Linked DNA regions of Canis lupus familiaris. The protein of the gene in region 2 interacts with the protein of the main gene of each other region in a pairwise test. Links are inferred from orthologs where the notes say so. Each region holds a gene or a part of one and is shown on either strand. Other genes may lie near its edges.

Region 1 (4,113 bases), about 30 Mb from region 2:
TTGTCTTTCCCTCTCTCTCTTTTTATTTCCTCCCCCACTGGATTGCCCCTCCCTGTCATTTTTTTTTTCTTCGTTCTCTTCCTTGCCAGCAGATTTCGAGTTTTGGCTTCCCCCAACTCCGCTCAGTGACATGATAAGTCAGAATCATTCTAGAGTCCCCAGAGATAGGAACCAGCTTTTACTTTTATTTCTCTTGCAGCATTTACTAAGTAGACGGCTTTGCATTACTCATTTTTTCCCCAGCTAGCCTCCAGATCTTCCTCCCACCCATCAGGCACTTTCATAAGAAAATCCCAGAGTCAGCGTTGCAGACCCAGCTGAGGGGACAGAGCTGGAGGGACAGACGCTAGGGCAGCAGGAACAGCTGTGAAGTCATGGGGCAGCTGAATTCAGCCGGTAAGCTAGCAAAAATCCATGTTCCTAGGCTTCCCCAGTATTCTTTCTTTATATGTGTGTGGGGCCACACGAAGCTTTAAACTACCCATTGTTTGAGATTAATTCACTTAGGAATGAGGGTTGGAGATGCAAATGCTTACGGTTGAGGGAGAAACCAATCATCTTGCTTTAAATATGATCACTTAATACTCCTGCTAGGAGGTGAGGACACTTTTGGCAATGCTGAGATTCTCATCAACATCCTCATTACCATCATCGCTGTCATTTACAGAGCACCTACTATGGATGTGACAGTACATTGTGTGTGCATTAGCATTAACTCTCACTAGTTTACAAATGAGTTTAGAAATAGTTTCTAAATGAGGTCCAGAGGGGTTAAATAATCTCACAAAGTGCACACAGAAAGAAAAAAACCCTCGGTTTGAACTCCAGTCTTTAATGGGCACATAAATCATGTGGAGAGCTTGTTAAATGTAGAATCTGATTTAGTGGGTCTGTAACAAGCTCCTGGCTGATGCTGCTGCTCTTCGGCCCACTTTCAGGAGCAAGATATTTTAAACATTCAAGTATAGGTGGCTTGATGCATCACACTCTCAAATAATAAAGTTAAAGGTCTATATCCACCTGTTCCTTATGTGGCCTTACAGGTTTATACTTTTTTTTTTTTTTTACAGATAAGCTATTTGAAATTTTAAAGCTGCAGGTTGCCTTTTTGAGAGAAAAATGAGATAACACTAGGACACTATTGTAAGCTCATCCCTATACTGTGTAGCTCAAAGTTATCCGTCCTCTATATTTTAATCTGTACAAGTTTTAATAACGTCTTTTTAATTAATACAGTGAATCTACAAACATAAATTAAATCCCGGAAGAGATTTGTTCCCTTCTTTCTCTTGGGTTGTTAGGTTGCTTTAACTATTGGTGCCGGATGTTCCCAGACATCTCCCTTCTGTTCTAAGCATCCTGCATCTAGTAAAAAATACCTTGATGATTTTGTCATAAAGGGAGAAGGAACAGAAGTCTTTTTCTCTAGAATGGAAGCCAGAGAAGGGGCTTTTTTTCATTTAAAAAAAAAAAAAGCTGAAAAGTCCCTGAGGCCTGACTTCACCAAGTCAGGAGAGCCCCACTAGCTTGCTGAGGAGGATGAGTACCTGGAGGTCCTCCTAGCTGCCATTCTTGTACTTGTATGAGAGACAGAGCCATCATCCAGGAGAAATGCTGTCACTTGGTGTCGAAGATAAGGGATGCTTAGAACCAGGGCATTTCAGCACTTGCCGACATTGCCCTGGGAAGATGATGATATGGTCACTGGCCACATACACTGGAGGCTTTGGGGACGCTCCTTATAAGAGCATCAATCCCTCCCACCTGCAAACTCTGGGCTCTGGGCAGAGTTCCTCTCCATCTCCTAGCAGGGGTCTCTTTCCCACCACCAAAATAATTCAATAAACCCACTGCAGCTCTCAGTATCACCTTACCCTGTTGAACATCATATTCCCCTGTTACCAAAATCAAAGGTACACAAATCAAACTTCTGCCAGAGAGAAAGCAGAGGCACCCTTTTCCCACATTGAGCACTTGGCTGAATCTATAATAGGGGACAGTGAGTACATCTGTGTGCTGGGAACAGGAGCAAGTCTGTCATTACAAGTAACACCAAAGCATTCTTCAGCCTTTCCTGGCCCCAGGCATCTCATTCACCCTAATTCTTCTTCACAAAGAGTGTGCATATACCTAGATATGCAGATGCACATCTCCAGATTCTAAGGAGACAACCAATGATTTGTATTGATAAATACAAAGACGAAGAAAGCTTTGGGATAAAACAGAAGTTGTATATGAAGAATACGCACCAATTATTATACCAATGGACACATGCGGTTATAACCGACTTTTACCTCTTCAAATTGAAACTCAGGGAGAATTCCTAGTGATGAATGCCTGAGGTCATTGAATATTTTTTTACCTTCTTCCACTTTGTGCCTATCCGTTATTAAACTCCCTTGGGAATTCCTTAAGGGACACCTGCCCCCAAATGCAAAATCTTACCCACAGTGCAACCAGTCTTCTTTCTGCAAGCCTTTCAGAAGGGAGAAGAAGTCTTTCTGGTTCTTTTTTAAACACATGGCTCCAGAGGATTCTTTTAAGTTTGGAAAACTTTTCAGAAAGCTTCCAGTGAGTGAATTAAATCGGTGCCCCCACCCCCACCCCCACCCCACACTACCCCTCTGTAGGCATTCAACATTTCTCTCCCAGATCTTTCACAAAGCAAGGCAAAGATTCTTACCTTTCCCAGACAGAATCGGACTGAGACAGCTGCCAGCTCGGCCAACAGCAACCCAAAGAGGGGGGATGCAAATCACCACACTAGGGACCGTAAACAAAGTACTCAACAAGGCTTGAACACAATTAAGGGACCGGAGAAAAACTTGGAGAGAGGAAATCCTTTAAGCGCTGCTGCATTTTGTTCTGTTTCCCTCTATGAGAATGTAATCTGTATTTTTAAAAAGGGAATCAAGTTTGAAAAGAATGTCCTACTTTGTTTTACTCTCTTTATAGCCTCATTCAGGCTTCCATTTTCAAGATTTTCCCTACCCAAGCCCTCATCCTGGTAGTCCTCTGTTCCTACTGTGAACCTACAGAAAAGAATTTGTCATCCTTGTTCTGTACTTCCAGGCAGGTTTTTGGGAGGTATGTGGGCATGGGTAGTGGGGTGTAAATTAATCTCTTTTGTCCTAACATGCAAGTAAAAAGAGGAGCAATTGAAGAGGAGGATTCATGGTGAAAATGGCTTGTGATTCCTTATGTGGACCATTTCCCTGAAGTCCCAGTGGTGATCTTATCAGCACTTTTCATCAGAGGATGGCAAAGCACCATGGAAACAACGGTATTCTGGAAAATCACATCTCTGAGGAACTGAACTCCTAATCAGCATATAATTTCCAGGCTTCAACATCAGTCTGATGCTGGGAAATTGAAACCACCCTGCAACATATAATATTTCCACCAAAGGCATCATAAATAGCAGAGCTTGTTCTTCTGGGGAGAATTTCCCCAAATTTGAAAAATCTTACTTCATTCAGAAATTAGATTGGAAACAAAGTGATTTAGGTGCAGGGGATGCAGAAGTAGAGGAGGGCAGGGAAGATGGTGATAACCAAGAGGACATTTTGCCCCTTTCTCTTCGATACAAGCCAAGGTTCAGTCTCTGGTCTGGAAAAAGGGGGGAGGCATTTTGATTTTGCCATTGACTTTATGCTGCTGAAGACCTGGGTATTTCTCCTTTGGGAACGCACAAACTTCGCATTTTGTGAAGAGAGAGCACCTCCATGTGTATTCAATTACTCGCCCATATTTACTTTCAGTTTGCTTTTGCTTGGTGTGGTTGAGTTGGCTAATTTCCAGCAGCTGTGAAGATGCCAGTTCCTTCCGGCACTCTGTCCAATCACTGCATGCCTTTGATCTGGGTCATCACCCAGTCCAATTGGATTCAGTGAGATTCGGGAAACTGGCCAGTTTTTCTCTTTTCCAATGCTTCTTTTAAGGGTGTGTCTGCATTTATCTTCTGAAATCACTAACATTTTGGAAAGTGATCTGTGCTGGTGTGTTCATTTTGGATAACACGTCATGTTTTTACTGCTTTCCCCACACCACTCCCCAACCCTAGGCACTTTTCTTTGAGGTCTAGGACATTAGAGAGATCTGATAGCACCAAGG
Region 2 (3,500 bases):
GTGGAGACCAGGTGATCTGGAGGTGGGGGTCCTGCTCCCCCTCCCTCCCCATACATCATCCCTGCCTGGCCGGCGTCTGCCCCCTAGTCCCCCAGGTAGACCCTCCGCTGGGCCAGCGCCCCAGCCAGGTTGAGGGGGCATCTGCGTGCGGCCGAGCAGGTGGGGGGCAGGGAGGTGCCCACATGGAGGGGTGAGCAGCCTGGCCCAGGGACTCCCGGGCACCGGGAACAGGGACCCGCGGCTGTGATCCTTCCTTGACCTGTGCCTTTGCATTTCCTGCACTTGCTGTAGCGTTTATATTCCAATGAAAACAAAGGCCGCGTCAGTGGGACAGAGCATGCGACAGGAGGAGACGAGGACACTTACCGGGGGCCTCAGCCGGGCAGTGGACACTGGGCTGAACGTCAGCGTAAGATGAGGACCTCTTTGCAGGATCTAAGACATCTTCTATTTGTTCCTCCAGGGTTTTAAGTTTATCCTTTAGATTTCGTATTTCCGTTTCAAGGACCATAACGTGATCTGCCCCCAAAAAAACCAGTAAATGCACAGGCACACACACGGACGCTCCCATCACCGTCACCTAGGTAGAGGCCCACTCGGGCTGGGGTGGCTGGCTTCCCTGCCCGCCCACCCATAATGCCCCCCCCCCGCCTGCGGCGAGGGCGCTCCCTAAGGAGGCAGACAGGCAGCACCCCCTCACCCCCACGCACTGGCGTCTGTGGGAGTGCACGGCGTCTCACGCGCGGGGCCGTGCTGCCTGGGGCCCTCTGCTCACGGCCACTCCTGGGCCACCAGTGGGGCCCCGCTCCGCCACAGCACAGGACACCCCGAGGAGAGGCTCAGCGTCCCCAGCCCCACACTGCCCGCCACTTGAACAGCGCCCAGCAGCTCCCCGGCCAGCGGGCTCCCGGCTGGAAGTGCCAAGGACGCAGCCCTTCGCTCTCCTCGTCCCCAACCAATAAAACGCTGTAACCCCTTTTGTGAACACGGACTCCACGAAACCTCTCTCGGGGGAAGGCTGCTGCCACACATTGATGTGATGTTTTAAAGCAGTTGTTCATTTACAGACTCCAAGTGAGCCCCTTTGGGACCCGTGGAGACCCACGTACCCCCAGCCCCTGCCCCCACCCTCGCCCTCACTCACCAGGAGCCTTCGCAGCTGCCTCTGGATGTGGCCGGGGCTCTTCTGGGCCGCCGGCCTGACCCCCTGACGGGGCAGGAGGAAGAACATGCTCACTCAGAGTCTCCATTTCTTTCCTCATCTCTGAAACAGCCCTTCGTAAGCTTGTGTTTTGCTCCTGGAGCCTCTGGATCTCATAGGACGGAAAACTTTCCTTGGTTTCTTCTTCACGATGCCTTAGGAGCACCTGGCACATACAAAAAAGAAAAGAAAAGAAAAAAAAAAAAAAAAAGAAAAGAAAAGAAAACGCTGACAGCTAGGAAGACACCTGTGGCATGCTGCCCATCCAGGGCTGGCCGCATCTGCACTCCCTCCCGTCTGCCCACCCGGCGGCAGGAAACTTCCACCTAAACTGACGGGGACAATGAAAACCTTCCCAGCAGGCGCTGGGAAGACGAGCCTACTGTTTGACAGGCAGCTTCCTTCTCAGCTACAGTGGCAGCTGGTGTGGAAAAGACAGGCAGGCAGAGTGCCCACAGGGAGGGCTGCTGCGTGTGTGTGACGGCGCGTCGCCATGGAAGACCGTCTGGCGGCTCCTCCAAGGATCAAACACAGAGTGACTCCCGACCCACACTCCGCTCCTGAGCATAAGCCCAAGAGAACCAAAAACAGATGGCCCCGGCAAAACCTGCACACGCGTGTTCACGGCAGCATTTTTCACAGGAGCCAAAATGTGCAAACACAACCATCCACCAATGGATGAATGAATTAAAAAAACGTGGCAAGATGGAGCAATGTTCAGCCATGAAGAGGAGTGAAGCCCTGACACACGCGATCCCCCAGGTGAACCGTGAAGACACGCTCCGTGGCCGTCAGAACCTGAGCACAGTTGCAACCACAAACACACTCAGGGAAAGGAAGGAAAATGGGCGTAAAAGCAAAAGAACAGAAAAGAATTTTATTTATCTTTTTAAAAGATCTATTTATTTCAGAGAGAGAGCCAGTGCATGGGGCGGGCGGGGGGAGAAGCAGACGCCCCTGAGCAGGGAGCCCCACGTGGGGACTCAATCCCAGGACCCGGGGTCAGGACCTGAGCCAAACGTAGATGCTCAATCACTGTGTCACCCAGGAGCCCCCAGAAGATAATTTTAGAAGAACCAGAATTTCTGGAGAAACGAGAAAGACATCATTTGAAATAATAAATTCACTGAGGATGGCCTGGGAGCAGACCAGAAGGTGCAGGAAGGAGGGAGAGACGGGAGCATCAACAGGCTCTGCGGAAGAAGTCCTTCAGTTACGACACGCTGACCACAGTACCTTCGGATTGATGAGAACAGAGGACCACAGATGCAAGAAGTCCACCAAACTCAAAGCAAGATAAACACAAAGAAAATCCCACCAAACAGCACGTCATCATCAAATTCCTAAAACAGATCAGAGATAGAAAATGCCCAAAAGCGATGAGAACACAGCACACTCGGCACGCACAGGCACAGATACCAGGTTTCTGCTGACTTCTCATGACAGCCACTGGAATCCATGGGACAGAGGGAGGGTGGGCGTGCGGCGTGCAGGAAGGGGACGCCCCACGGCCCCGCATCCACGCTCAGCGGTGGCGTCCTGAGGAAATGACAGCGACACAGGCTACGGCCCTGAGCACAGGGCTTCACCGCGGCAGGCCCGCTGCTGGCTGTCAACACCAGAAAGTCAGATGAGCTCCAAGAAACGAGGGTCTGCAGACCCGCTGGCAGGGAAACACGGCGCCTGAACAAGGGGGGCAGGGAGCGCAGCCCGGCAGACTGCCTGGTCCTGGTCTGAGCCCTAGGAGAGCCCCTGGCACAGACACGGGCCTGCAGGGTCCCCCTGACACACGGACATGGGACTGCAGGACCCTACTCCGTCCGGCATGGACACAGGCCTGTGGGGTCCCCTCCCCACATGGACACGTGCCTGCAGGGTCACCCCACACACACAGACACAGGCCTGCAGGGCCACAGCTGTGCTCACTGTGCGAGGGGGCCGCCGCCCCAGTACCGCCCAGTCTGCAGCCCCCGGTTCCCTGCAGCCCCAGTGGCGCTCCAGCCAGTCGGCGAGCTCCCGGGGACGCATGAGCATAGCCTGCGCACCAGGGTGGCAGGGGCTAGCCGAGCATCTCAGCGGCCGCCCGGAAGGGATGGGCTGTGCGGTGCGACACACAACCATTTACGTTGTGTTTTGAAGAATTACAATGATGTAAAAAACAGTCACTGCACAAGTGGAAAAACCTCCAAATCCGATAGCAAGACCTGACCTGCCCAGAGAGAGCACGTGCCTGGGAACATGGACGAGGTCCACACGGAGAGGCCACCAGAGCCGCAGGACAGCGCCCCGAAGGTCGGCC

Evidence for each region.
Region 1: the proteins of CCDC57 (region 2) and TMEM100 interact in binary tests that used the Homo sapiens proteins (3 or more experiments, as listed by UniProt). The two-hybrid records come from large-scale screens. The link is inferred for Canis lupus familiaris from reciprocal best matches to the Homo sapiens genes CCDC57 and TMEM100.

The regions. Positions count from the first base shown.
Region 1 is NC_049230.1:30,656,528-30,660,640, forward strand, and holds the start of TMEM100 (transmembrane protein 100), read right to left. Parts: upstream 2,801-4,113; 5' UTR 2,684-2,800; intron 2,464-2,683; exon of another isoform or gene 2,446-2,463; intron 1,671-2,445; exon of another isoform or gene 1,548-1,670; intron 1-1,547. UniProt on the Homo sapiens protein: Plays a role during embryonic arterial endothelium differentiation and vascular morphogenesis through the ACVRL1 receptor-dependent signaling pathway upon stimulation by bone morphogenetic proteins, such as GDF2/BMP9 and BMP10.
Region 2 is NC_049230.1:986,431-989,930, reverse strand, and holds part of CCDC57 (coiled-coil domain-containing protein 57), read right to left. Parts: intron 1,368-3,500; coding exon 1,145-1,367; intron 520-1,144; coding exon 367-519; intron 1-366. UniProt on the Homo sapiens protein: Pleiotropic regulator of centriole duplication, mitosis, and ciliogenesis. Critical interface between centrosome and microtubule-mediated cellular processes. Centriole duplication protein required for recruitment of CEP63, CEP152, and PLK4 to the centrosome.